Saccharomyces cerevisiae S288C: one gene and its partners. Changing the gene in region 3 together with the main gene of any one other region gives a genetic interaction. Each region holds a gene or a part of one and is shown on either strand. Other genes may lie near its edges.

Region 1 (4,989 bases), on a different chromosome or scaffold from region 3:
GAGGATACGGAGGATGTTGGCGATTATGTCGGCGTCCCCGGCGATTTCCAATCAAAGAGCGTACTCTATCCATGCGGATCTTTGGCAAATGTATGTAGCACTTCTCCTATCGTTCAATTTGATGCTCTTTCTTTTCCAAAAGCCTTACTTGTTCTTCTTCTTCACTAGTAGTGAAGGGCTTTAGAGATGCCCAGAACCCAGACCATTTTAGACGCGTTATGAAATAAATATTGCGCTGAAAATTCAAACTTCATAATAAACAAAAATCATTAATAGTTTTGTAATTTGATTTACTGTTATGGTGATGCTATGTTAGTGTGAAATAGAACAACAGAAACGATGGGCTTGGACCAGGACAAGATAAAGAAGAGGCTTTCTCAAATAGAGATAGATATCAACCAGATGAACCAGATGATTGACGAAAATTTACAATTAGTTGAACCTGCGGAGGACGAAGCTGTCGAAGATAATGTCAAGGATACGGGTGTGGTCGACGCTGTAAAGGTGGCAGAAACGGCTCTTTTTAGTGGCAATGATGGAGCGGATAGTAACCCAGGAGATTCAGCTCAGGTTGAAGAGCACAAAACCGCACAGGTCCATATTCCCACTGAGAATGAAGCGAATAAGAGTACGGATGACCCATCCCAGCTATCGGTTACTCAACCTTTTATAGCGAAAGAGCAGATAACTCACACCGCCATTGCTATTGGTGACTCCTATAATTCATTTGTCGCAAATTCCGCTGGAAATGAAAAGGCAAAGGACTCCTGCACTGAGAACAAAGAAGATGGTACAGTCAATATAGATCAAAACAGGGGTGAAGCTGATGTTGAAATTATCGAAAATAATGATGATGAATGGGAGGATGAAAAATCGGATGTTGAAGAGGGGCGAGTAGATAAGGGAACAGAGGAAAACAGTGAGATTGAATCTTTCAAATCACCCATGCCCCAGAATAACACCTTGGGCGGTGAGAACAAGTTAGACGCTGAACTTGTATTAGACAAATTTTCTTCCGCTAATAAGGATCTAGATATACAACCGCAAACCATAGTTGTAGGAGGTGACAATGAATACAACCATGAGAGCAGCCGTTTAGCTGATCAAACACCCCATGACGATAATTCAGAGAATTGTCCCAATCGCTCTGGAGGAAGCACTCCCTTAGATTCTCAAACTAAAATTTTTATCCCTAAAAAGAATTCTAAAGAAGATGGTACCAATATAAATCACTTTAATTCAGATGGTGATGGACAGAAAAAAATGGCGAATTTCGAGACACGACGCCCTACAAATCCGTTCAGAGTTATCTCGGTGAGCAGCAATTCCAATTCAAGAAACGGAAGTCGTAAATCTTCACTAAATAAGTATGATTCGCCAGTCTCCTCTCCTATCACATCAGCGTCTGAGCTGGGCAGTATTGCCAAGCTGGAAAAAAGACATGATTATTTATCCATGAAATGCATTAAGTTACAAAAGGAAATTGACTATCTAAACAAGATGAATGCACAGGGTTCTTTATCTATGGAAGACGGAAAGAGACTACATAGAGCCGTAGTGAAGCTTCAAGAATATCTTGACAAGAAAACGAAGGAGAAATATGAGGTCGGAGTGTTATTAAGTAGACATCTGAGAAAGCAAATTGATCGTGGCGAAAATGGCCAATTTTGGATTGGAACTAAATGATTACATTACGCCAAGGGTTGTTATAAATATTTATAAATTAAGACAGATATATAAAGTTAAAATAAATACCAAAAGAACATAGACAATCGTAAGAGAATAAGAATCCTTTATCCTAGAGCCATCCATCTGTTATTTTTGATGTTGCTGACTTTTTTTCTGATAAATTCTATTATTTTAATAGTAAAGAGGTGAGTATTTCGCCTAAACGTAAACAAAACGATAATAAAAAAAAAAAAAAATGAAGACAAAATGTTCAGATAGTCAATTATATTGTAATAACATGAAACGGAACAATAACAGTACCCAGAATTCAATTTCAATGGCGTTGTGTCTTCTTTTCTCTAAGAACTTTCATAAACCAAGTCGTACTTAACCGCGCTAGCGATAACCCTGCTAACTTTGTCGCAGAGGGAAAAAAGTAGAATCGAAGGGAAAAATCACGAAAATTAACTGGGCTGAATAGAATGAATTCAGTCATACGGTGATGGTTTTCGAAACAAACTGCACATTTTTCCAGTTAAAAGGACCAAGTTTGGTTACTGATACGTGAGACTAATTTGTTCTCCAGAAACACAATAATTTGGTGCTACATTGCCAACGCTCAGGAGTGGTTTTAAGCTCAGAAAAGTTACTACCAAAGGGGTTCAACGTAAAAGTGAATTGTGTTTTCTTATCGAGAAAAACTCTTTTATTATTCAAGTGAGTTTTCCACTTATTAGATTCCTATCTTTTTACCGATCTCTATTATTTGATAAGTTCCTTAATCAATTCGTGGATTTTTATTTTTATTTCATTCTTTTCATTTCAATTTCTGCATTCCAAATACACCTGCCCAGTCTCTAGACCCTGCTTAATCATTATGTCAAGCGAGGAACGCTCGAGACAACCAAGTACTGTTTCAACTTTCGATTTAGAACCCAATCCTTTTGAACAAAGCTTCGCCTCTTCCAAGAAGGCTTTGTCACTTCCAGGCACGATCTCCCATCCGTCTCTACCAAAAGAGCTTTCACGAAACAATTCTACCTCAACGATAACACAACATTCCCAACGTTCCACTCATAGTTTGAACAGTATTCCAGAAGAAAATGGGAATTCAACCGTTACAGATAATAGTAATCATAATGACGTAAAAAAAGACTCACCTAGTTTTTTACCAGGCCAACAAAGACCTACTATAATATCTCCGCCTATTCTCACACCTGGTGGGTCGAAAAGATTACCACCTCTACTCCTTTCTCCCTCTATTTTATATCAGGCAAATTCAACTACGAATCCCAGTCAGAATTCACATTCTGTTTCAGTCTCTAATTCAAACCCTAGTGCAATAGGCGTTTCTTCTACCTCCGGATCTCTGTATCCAAACAGCTCTTCTCCTTCAGGGACTTCACTTATACGCCAGCCACGAAACTCGAACGTGACCACAAGTAATTCTGGTAACGGCTTCCCCACGAATGATTCACAAATGCCTGGCTTTTTATTAAACTTGTCCAAATCTGGGTTGACACCTAATGAGTCCAATATCAGGACCGGGTTGACACCCGGTATTCTTACGCAATCTTACAATTATCCCGTATTGCCGTCAATTAATAAAAATACTATAACAGGTAGCAAAAATGTCAACAAAAGTGTCACAGTGAATGGAAGTATTGAAAACCACCCTCATGTTAATATAATGCACCCAACTGTAAATGGTACACCACTTACGCCGGGATTGAGTTCTCTGCTAAACTTACCATCTACTGGAGTTTTGGCTAATCCAGTATTCAAATCAACACCTACAACAAATACCACAGATGGTACCGTCAACAACAGCATCAGTAATTCCAATTTTTCCCCAAATACTTCAACGAAAGCGGCTGTCAAAATGGATAATCCGGCAGAGTTCAATGCCATCGAGCACTCCGCTCATAATCACAAGGAGAATGAAAATTTAACGACTCAAATTGAGAACAATGACCAGTTCAATAACAAAACACGAAAAAGAAAGAGAAGGATGTCTAGCACAAGTTCTACTTCTAAGGCTTCAAGAAAAAATTCCATATCAAGAAAAAACTCAGCAGTTACGACTGCACCAGCACAAAAAGATGATGTTGAAAATAATAAAATTTCAAACAACGTAACACTTGATGAGAATGAAGAGCAAGAAAGAAAAAGAAAGGAGTTTTTAGAAAGAAATAGAGTAGCTGCATCTAAATTTAGAAAAAGAAAGAAAGAGTACATCAAGAAAATTGAAAATGATCTACAATTCTATGAATCTGAATATGACGATCTAACTCAGGTCATTGGGAAGCTATGCGGCATAATACCCTCAAGCTCCTCGAATTCCCAATTCAATGTGAATGTTTCAACTCCGTCATCATCATCACCACCATCTACATCTTTAATAGCATTGTTAGAGAGTAGCATTTCAAGGAGTGATTATTCAAGTGCAATGTCAGTATTATCAAACATGAAGCAATTGATATGTGAAACGAATTTTTACCGAAGGGGAGGCAAAAACCCAAGGGACGACATGGATGGCCAAGAAGACAGCTTCAATAAGGACACTAACGTTGTCAAAAGCGAAAATGCGGGCTATCCTTCCGTTAATTCAAGACCAATAATTCTAGATAAAAAATACTCACTGAACTCTGGAGCAAATATCAGCAAAAGTAACACAACTACTAATAATGTGGGAAATAGTGCACAGAATATAATCAATTCATGCTACTCTGTTACTAATCCATTGGTAATAAATGCAAATTCCGATACCCATGATACTAATAAGCATGATGTACTATCCACTCTACCTCACAATAATTGACGAGATAGCGACGGGGTTCTTAAATAGTCTTCTATCTGATGCTTTCGTACTCTTCAACCTGTCCGCTTTTCTCATTGCAAATATTCCACTATAAAGTTCCTTTTAAGAGGAAATCCCTTTTATTCTCCCGCTTTTTTCTGTATTTATGTAACTTCAAGATTTTTTTTTCTATATTTGATATAAACTTTAATAGGGTTCTTCTTTTCAGAAGTTTATCAATTGCTTAAGCCTCCTTTTGTTGATCAACAACAATAAAGGCTTTATTATCGTAAATTTTCCTACAGCATTTATTCTTCATAGAGCATACCGTTATAATTTCACCGTCTTTTCACTACGCTCATAAAGAGAGTACAGTTATACTGCTGCAACCCTAGCATGTATCAAGCTGTGCTGCTTATACCTATTTTGAAAGGGCCATTCCTTCTTTTGCCATTCCTTTTTCGTCTATTTTCCTAAATAGCTTCCTTAGCCTCACGTTTTTTTGTTCGCTTTCAAGAGAT
Region 2 (4,080 bases), on a different chromosome or scaffold from region 3:
AGAAATGATTAGGTATGAGGTACTCTTATAGTATGTAGAATTTCTGATTTGCTTATGTGTTCATTTATTCTCGAGAAGAACCCTTAGTATATTCTGTGTCCTAATATTACAAAAAGTCAATGAGAGTCTAGGGACTATCAGATAACTTCACTGTGCTCATCTTGATTCCTGTTCTAACGACAGTAACACAGGATACGGTTAGTATTTTTTTGCCAACCTGATCTGTGAAAGAAAAATGTACCTGTCAATTCGGTTCTTTTTTGAGGCCGCTTTTTCGTATAGTCGTCATCGATTGGATATTCGTTTAAGAAATAACGTGCTTGTTCATCGATTTCATCTATGATTCCATTCCATGTGTATGTATATATACGTAGTTACATATAATAATATAAATAAAGATTTGAAATAAATATGTCGCAGAAAAGAACTTTGCTCAAGATTTCATTGCTCGTAATGTTGTTTTTCCTAGGTTGACAATTTTGGACGAGGCTGACCAATAATTATTCATATTTCATTTTGGACAATGGGGCATCGGGGCCTAAGTAGGTGCCAAAAACTTCGTCCCAAAACCAGGATGTGACGCCAAATCCCAGTTGGTAGTTTTTATAATGATGTTCCAGGTGATATTTTTTCAACTTACGCATGAAGGGAGGCAATTTAGAGTGGTGCAAGAAGAAATGACATTCGTCATAACAGACATAACCGAAAAGACCGCCAGCAAAACCAGCGTAAGCCCAATAAAGTGGCAGCAGAGCAAATACCAACTTGTAAAATGGAGCACAAAGGATGACGAACAGAGTAGGTGGCATAACTAAACGGTACTTGTCCATGGGCAAGTAATGATGGCAACCATGTAGTAGAAAATGTGTGGCGAATGCGATGTTACTTTCAGGTAACCAATCATCGAAATGAAATAGGAAACGGTGAAGACCGTATTCAATCAAAGTCCAAACAAAGACACCGACACAGAACAAGAAACATGCAAATAGCTGGTTCATGTTCTTCAAAGCAACACCCATGTGGTACACAACTACAGGCAACCAAGCAACTGGAACAACCCACCAAGCTGTTTTAGTTAATGGTTCCAAGAAATTACCAAATAGCGGGGCAGACCCCTTACCGTAATGTCTTGGTCTATGGATTTGGTCAACGTAAAAATCTTTCTTGAAATCACTACGCAGAATCTGCATCAGCAAAGGACGGTTCAGATCCAAAAATTTATGCTTTTTGTAGTCGTTACTGTAGTCCGTAGCAATACTTAGTTTCTCCTCGGCGGGCAACTCCTTTACAAAAGTAGTGGAGTCAAACTCAGTACCGTCAGCTGACAACTGCACTTCAACCTTATGGTTCTTGTTAGTCAACAATCTCGCTGCCTCTTCGTCAGTTGCCAAGTAACCAATCAAATATTCGTCCTCAAGGATTTCATACGCGGAGTCGCTGTGTTCATGCACATCTGAGTCTTTCATGATCTCAGTAATGTCCTTACCAGCATAGTCCAAGATGGACTCGTCACCACCAGGGTGTTCGCTCAAAAACCTGGTCACGTCATAAATCTTTCTGTTTTGATAAGTGACCCAGCAGTCATTGGCAGTATTGTGTTCTTGTACCGTCTTTTTTGAAAACAGTTCCAAAGTCTTGGAAGTATTAGTCGACATCTTCGTACTAGTTTTAGCTTACCACCGCTTTTAGTGCCTGCCACGATAACAATAGAAAAAAAAACTAATCAAAGACAATAGACACAATAGCTTCTACTATCTAATACCTCTGTTCTTATACGGTTCCAAATTGAAAAAAAAATTAACTGCGAAAAGATGTCACACGTCAGTAAATCCGCGCAAAACCCCGTTATATTTCCGACGTCGTGCGGTAGTTTCTGCGCGGAACGGCCCCGCGGAATAGGCACATTTTCTTCCGGCCGCAGAAAGCTCTCTTTATCAAAAGCAAGACTGTTTTCGGCTATTGTATTATGAGAAGTTTGGTGTTTGTCCAACTTTCCCTGTTGTCCTGGGAAATATTCTGTGGGGAACGTAGCTTTGTGAGCATGAAAGCTATCTTTTCGTGTATGTACGTGTGATGTGTATATGTCTATGTATGCAGCGCTGAAGCCTTTTCAGGGTTGTTGTTGTTGTTGTTGTTGTTGTTCTTTGTCGTGGGCTACCTGCTCCATGTACAGAGTGTGATTAACCAAGTTCAGATAAGCATACATGAAGTTACTTAGTAATACCTGCTCGCGCAGTCCCCTCTTCGAATTGCTCAATTTCAAGTGACTCAGCCGGTATATGGCCCTTTCGACGTTAATTGGTAGACGGTGGTCGAACATGATAACCGTAGACACTGTCAGCAAAGGCAGTGGGAACCCAAAGGCACTGTCTGTGAATTGAACCGGGGAGTTTGGTTTGTCAGGTTTTTTGACGTCTGCAAATGTAAGCTTTCTTGGGGGCAATATGGAGGTATGTTTCAATGGTGGTGCCGCTGGAGCCTGAGTTTGAGCTGAAGCTTCAACTGGGGCTGAAGTTTGGACTGGGGCTGAATTTTGGACTGGGGCTGAAGCTTGAACTGGGACTGAAGTTTGGACTTGTTCTTGAGCTGGAGCTTGTAGTTGAGCTTTTTGCTCATCGGTATTCTCCTTTTGGACGTGTTTGGAGTGTTGTTGGTTGGAAATTTCTGTCGTATTGCTCCTCTTCTTGTTCTTTTTCTTTGCCTCCTCTTCTTCTCTGTCTCTAGAGTTACTTTTGGTACTACTTACACTAACGGCCGGCTGTAGTTGGGGCAAGCTCTCGGAATCGCTTTCCTCTTTCTTTTCTATCTCTATTGCGCCTTCCAATTGTGGTTGTAATGGTATCTGCTGCTGCGGCTGAGAATCTTTAAGGGTTTTTACGCTTATTTTTTGGGAACCATGACGGCTGTGATGGTGACGGTGAGGACGAGGGCGATTGCGCAACACAATGGGTTCAACCGGCTCCCTTCCACTTTTGTTACCAAGCTTTTTGCTTTTCCTCACGCGAACGTGCACGGCATCGTTATTTGGTATTGATGGTGACGATGATGGTGACGACGAGGGTGATGATGATGCATCATGCTTGTGGTGTGGCTTTCTTCTGAATAGGTTCGCAAAAGTTTTCTCGATTTTCTGTCTTGTCTGTGATGTGGCGGTGGAAGTACTTGAATTGTTCATTTCTTCTTTATTTGACACCTCCGTCTTCTCACCGCCATTAAATAGAGAAATATAATGTTTTTTGGAATTGTCGAGCTCCATTCTTTGTGAATCCACGTTTTCTTCATTTTCATCGTCCCCTTGGTTTTCTTCGTTATCGTCTTCTCTGCTCATTTTATTGTTCAACCATGTCCATCCGTTTCTTCGACGATGTCGCTTCGTTTCTTTGTTGTCATCCGTTGCGCTTGGCTTTACCATGTCTGTTGTTCCCTCTCTTAACTCTAAGTCTTGTTCTACTGTGTCATTTCGAACCTTGACGGGTACCTCTTCGGCTTCTTTCTCTATTCCCATTTCTTGTTCCCACTCGCCACTAGACTGTCTGTAATGATTATAAATGTCTTGAAAATCACCAATTGACCCAGGCGAACTCATATTCTCAGAATCCTCATCTTGCTGTCTAAAAGGGGATTTGTGCGGATCTATTTCGACCTTTATTGTATTCTTGGTCAATTTTAGACGTTCTTCGTCGTCGTTTTTCATTTCATCCACACTTTGTTCTACTTCTTTTTCTTGCTCTTGTGACCTGATTCGATAAGTGTTGAATCTACTCCTTCTCAGTGACGATCGTTCAGGCCATGTCATGGTATTATTGATGGGCATATTGGAGGCAAATTCACCATCATCCAAAGTATTCGCTTGTGAAGTTGAAAAACCAATATCTCCTTCATCATAATGCCCTTCCGGTTGTGGTTGATCTTTTTTATCTGAATATGAACCAGCCATACTAAGAGTTCTGGCTAATGTAATGGCATCATTGTCGGTTAGTCCTGCACTATTTGAGATCTTTGTCAGTTCTTCAGTTATATCTCTTAACGACACTGGTCTCTCTTTTATTTTGGAGATTCTTTCTTCGACTTTATTTACTG
Region 3 (4,869 bases):
TTATGCTACGATGTAAGAATTGATAATGTAATGGAATATATGAGCTGCTGTACAAAGCGAAAGAAGAAATAGTGCTATGATTAAGTAAAATTATTGATACCTTTTGCAGAGTCTTATCTTCTTGAGGACTACTCGTAGGTTATTCTGTATACTTATAACCTCTAATAACGCTAAGAAATTGTCTCCATATCAACCTATTTCTCAAAACTCAATAAACTAAGATCCGTAGTTCTGTATAGTACTGAAAGTGTTCCTATTTTGGTGTCGTATGTTGCCATTCATTATTTTTAATAAATGCATTCCCACATCCACGAAATTGAAGACTTTTTGAAATTTGTTCTATTAGACATATGGTTTATATCTTCACTGTTTATAATAAATAGCTCCGTTAGAATTAATGAATGAGAGCATAAATACAAAAAATAGAAAAGATTTTGATATTACATAGAGCTGCTGATTCCTTTTATGAGTTCCTAATTTCTTAAGGAGAAGTTTCTGCCACAGTCCGTGAATGTAATAGTTATCTTCAACAAGAATGAGATTGCAAAAGACTAAATGTGGTAAGTATACGCTTGTCTGGGTGAGACAGCTATTTAGCAAGTTCTCTTTTTCTGCTTCAACTGTTCTATTTTCTGTATTTACTTTTTTTTTATATTTTCTCCGTATTTATGAAAATTCCTCTTCGGTAAAAGCACAGAATTAGACTTGAAATGTAAACAATATAAGACAGACAAACCTTTATCGAAGATAGAAGTGCTGATAAACAAACAATACGCCATAAGTGACGGTTCTTGGAGTCTTAAAAAGGTCTTTCTTGACTTTTTAGTTTCCTTTTTCTTCCAGTTTTACAAGAAAATCCAATGCGGTTAAAACAGAAAAAAATCATGATCGAAATACGTCCACTTTACTTTGTAATTGAGTTTTATCTTTTTTTTTTTGTTTCCTCTATACAACTATATACGTAAATACTTTTATGAGTACCATAAAAAAAAGAAACATCAAAAAGAAGTAAGAATGAGTGGTTAGGGACATTAAAAAAACACGTTTACTGTTGGAACTCATTAGCGTACTGTATGGCCTGGTTACCGTAGTCCGTAATGGTGTCATTTGCAGCTACATGATCGCTGACTTTGTTTCCACCAGCTATATCTGAGTGATCATTTCCAGTAGTGCCAGCGCCATTATGCGAATGCGCAGCCATGTTTAACTGAACTTGAGCCTGAGCCTGAGCCTGTGCCTGCGCCGCGGCAGCGGTGGCTGCAGCAACTTGGTCATCAAACGTGGCAGATATATCAATCTGTCCATCACTGCCACCAATCTTATGGAAGTCTAGGATTTCTGAGTACATCATAACACGCCAGGTATCGACAGGCAGATCAGCGTCATTAAAGTGCCAATCGAACTTGGCATCGGCTACTGGTTCATCCGTTGGATCGTGGTAAGGAGCCGAATAAGGATGAGCCAAGGCATCCGCCGCAGTGATTCTCTTCTTAGGATCAAAAACCAGCATTTTTTCCAAAAGGTCTACGGCATCAGGTTCGACTGTTTTAAATCTTTCAGAAAATGGAATTGGATCTCTGTGTGGTAACGAAGTAACAAATTTTAGAGTATTTTCGGAACAAATAGTATTTATCACATCCTTTGGCGGAGATCCCAACAAGTCAGTGATGATCGAAAATTGGTGAACATGATCTTTCCCAGGGAACAAAGGCTTACCTTCAATCATTTCGGCAAAAATACAACCAGCGGACCAAATGTCGACCTCGACGTCATATTTTTGCCACGTTAGCATGATTTCAGGTGCCCTGTAGTATCTAGTGGAAACATAGCCTGTCATTTGAGGGTCTTGAATTCTTGCTAGACCGAAATCGCAAATCTTCAAATCACAGTTTTCATTAATCAGAATGTTGCTCGGTTTCAAATCTCTATGAATGACGCCCGCGGAGTGAACGTATTTTAAACCCCTTAGAATTTGGTATAGGAAATACTGAACAAATTGCTTTTCCAAGGGTCTTGTTTGCAAGAGTCTATGTAAATCTGTTCCTTGTAATTCCGTGACAAAATATATATCTTCCAATGGAGAAAGAAATATGTCCTGAAGGCAAATCAAGTTCTCGTGTCTTAGATGTTTTAGTAGTTTTAGTTCACGATATGTCCTTTTGGCCAGCACTGCAGTGGAAAAAGGTTTCATGATTTTCTTAATGGCAACTGGCTGAGATGTCAAAGTGTCCGTGGCTGAGCAAACCAACCCAAATGCCCCCATCCCAACGGGGTTTAAATCATTGTATCTATTTGTGATCTCGAAAACTGTACCGAATATCTGTGTCCTAATGAATTCCTCGTTAGTGGTCATTATTATATACGATAGTTGTAGTTTTCCCTGTTTTCCCTTTGTTCCTTTTTTTCGAGTCTAGTATTTACCAATATAGAAGAAAGAGAAAATAAATAAGGTTTCTTGTTAGAGATTAGTTACTTTTGCTATTATTATCGCAAATTCCTCTTCCACTATACAAACAAGAAAGTAATTACTACTCTTATTGTAAGATAGTATGATAATTTCGACGATAGATAATATTTGCTTTTCGTTGGCCTTTTCTTTTTTTTTTTCCTTCCTTCCCTTCGAAGATCCTCCCGTATAATAACGCCGCCAGACCATGTAGGGTAACCAGAGAATACGCCCACTCCGCTTTCGCATGTGGCACTCCTGTATGTCAAAATGCCGAATAATCTCCATCCATGACGAAGCGCTTTGAGGTGTTTAATTATATACAGGGCAAAGTCTTGGAGATAAAGAACGCTTTCCTAACAACTTGCGCTATTCCTCTTATTTCCTTCAATCGATTAAAATTAACTTTTAATCGACATTGTCTTTTAAACCAGGGCAAAGCAAAATAAAAGAAACTTAATACGTTATGCCGTAATGAAGGGCTACCAAAAACGATAATCTCAACTGTAAACAGGTACAATGCGGACCCTTTTGCCACAAAACATACATCATTCATTGCCGGAAAAAGAAAGAAGTGAAGACAGCAGTGCAGCCAGCCATGTTGCGCCAATCTAATTATAGATGCTGGTGCCCTGAGGATGTATCTGGAGCCAGCCATGGCATCATGCGCTACCGCCGGATGTAAAATCCGACACGCAAAAGAAAACCTTCGAGGTTGCGCACTTCGCCCACCCATGAACCACACGGTTAGTCCAAAAGGGGCAGTTCAGATTCCAGATGCGGGAATTAGCTTGCTGCCACCCTCACCTCACTAACGCTGCGGTGTGCGGATACTTCATGCTATTTATAGACGCGCGTGTCGGAATCAGCACGCGCAAGAACCAAATGGGAAAATCGGAATGGGTCCAGAACTGCTTTGAGTGCTGGCTATTGGCGTCTGATTTCCGTTTTGGGAATCCTTTGCCGCGCGCCCCTCTCAAAACTCCGCACAAGTCCCAGAAAGCGGGAAAGAAATAAAACGCCACCAAAAAAAAAAAAATAAAAGCCAATCCTCGAAGCGTGGGTGGTAGGCCCTGGATTATCCCGTACAAGTATTTCTCAGGAGTAAAAAAACCGTTTGTTTTGGAATTCCCCATTTCGCGGCCACCTACGCCGCTATCTTTGCAACAACTATCTGCGATAACTCAGCAAATTTTGCATATTCGTGTTGCAGTATTGCGATAATGGGAGTCTTACTTCCAACATAACGGCAGAAAGAAATGTGAGAAAATTTTGCATCCTTTGCCTCCGTTCAAGTATATAAAGTCGGCATGCTTGATAATCTTTCTTTCCATCCTACATTGTTCTAATTATTCTTATTCTCCTTTATTCTTTCCTAACATACCAAGAAATTAATCTTCTGTCATTCGCTTAAACACTATATCAATAATGCAATTTTCTACTGTCGCTTCTATCGCCGCTGTCGCCGCTGTCGCTTCTGCCGCTGCTAACGTTACCACTGCTACTGTCAGCCAAGAATCTACCACTTTGGTCACCATCACTTCTTGTGAAGACCACGTCTGTTCTGAAACTGTCTCCCCAGCTTTGGTTTCCACCGCTACCGTCACCGTCGATGACGTTATCACTCAATACACCACCTGGTGCCCATTGACCACTGAAGCCCCAAAGAACGGTACTTCTACTGCTGCTCCAGTTACCTCTACTGAAGCTCCAAAGAACACCACCTCTGCTGCTCCAACTCACTCTGTCACCTCTTACACTGGTGCTGCTGCTAAGGCTTTGCCAGCTGCTGGTGCTTTGTTGGCTGGTGCCGCTGCTTTGTTGTTGTAAACTTAGTTTATTATTATTTATACATTCTAAATTTTTTATAAACTTTTTTGGCATTTAACAAATATATAACAATTGGGATTTAGTAGAAATTCTTTTAATTTCTTCTTTTTTTTTTTAATCTATATTTATTCTTTTTCTTTAATTTTGTTCGAAACGCATATAATGTTTTTATTGATTTTGTTTCAGGTTCCTGAACCTCGCGGAGTTCCTATTTTACTGTTGTTTTTTTTCAAAACACAGGGGTACCTTGAAGTATACGCAGTGCCTCTTAGCCAAGGATAATATAAACACACTAGAACAAAAAAAAAATACTCCTTGTACAGAATCGTTTTCTATTTTGAATTTTTTTTATATAAACATGGTTTTATTGTCTATTACATAGCATCTACAAATGAGCCAAGACACTTTCGACTGAGGAAACGGTCACATCGGTACCTGGGTTGGTTTCCTTGGCAGCGTAAGTAACGATACCGTTTTCAACAACCATGGCCCATCTACCACTCCAGTAAACACCGTCACCGACGGCTAATTCGAAACCAATGGATTTGGTGAAAGCACAGCCTGGGTCGGAGGCAAACTTGATGTGTGTGGTG

What was found. A genetic interaction does not mean that the proteins touch.
Region 1: of HOG1 (region 3) and SKO1, a mutation in one rescues a mutant of the other (synthetic rescue), as found in Saccharomyces cerevisiae (5 studies listed by BioGRID).
Region 2: mutations in HOG1 (region 3) and SCS7 together harm fitness more than expected from each alone (negative genetic interaction), as found in Saccharomyces cerevisiae (5 studies listed by BioGRID, with this or other methods).

What each region holds. Positions count from the first base shown.
Region 1 is NC_001146.8:318,916-323,904, reverse strand, and holds SKO1 (Sko1p), read left to right. Parts: upstream 1-2,545; coding exon 2,546-4,489; downstream 4,490-4,989. Other genes in the region: YNL165W (uncharacterized protein), read right to left, coding at 1-73; BNI5 (Bni5p), read left to right, coding at 340-1,686. UniProt on the Saccharomyces cerevisiae protein: Binds to the CRE motif 5'-TGACGTCA-3' and acts as a repressor of transcription of the SUC2 gene and most probably other genes.
Region 2 is NC_001145.3:809,123-813,202, forward strand, and holds SCS7 (fatty acid alpha-hydroxylase), read right to left. Parts: upstream 1,656-4,080; coding exon 501-1,655; downstream 1-500. Other genes in the region: YMR272W-B (uncharacterized protein), read left to right, coding at 1,967-2,074; ZDS1 (Zds1p), read right to left, coding at 2,111-4,080. UniProt on the Saccharomyces cerevisiae protein: Ceramide hydroxylase involved in the hydroxylation of sphingolipid-associated very long chain fatty acids. Postulated to hydroxylate the very long chain fatty acid of dihydroceramides and phytoceramides at C-2.
Region 3 is NC_001144.5:369,104-373,972, reverse strand, and holds HOG1 (mitogen-activated protein kinase HOG1), read right to left. Parts: upstream 2,354-4,869; coding exon 1,046-2,353; downstream 1-1,045. Other genes in the region: YLR112W (uncharacterized protein), read right to left, coding at 2,763-3,182; YLR111W (uncharacterized protein), read right to left, coding at 3,250-3,582; CCW12 (Ccw12p), read left to right, coding at 3,875-4,276; thioredoxin peroxidase AHP1, read right to left, coding at 4,662-4,869. UniProt on the Saccharomyces cerevisiae protein: Proline-directed serine/threonine-protein kinase involved in a signal transduction pathway that is activated by changes in the osmolarity of the extracellular environment.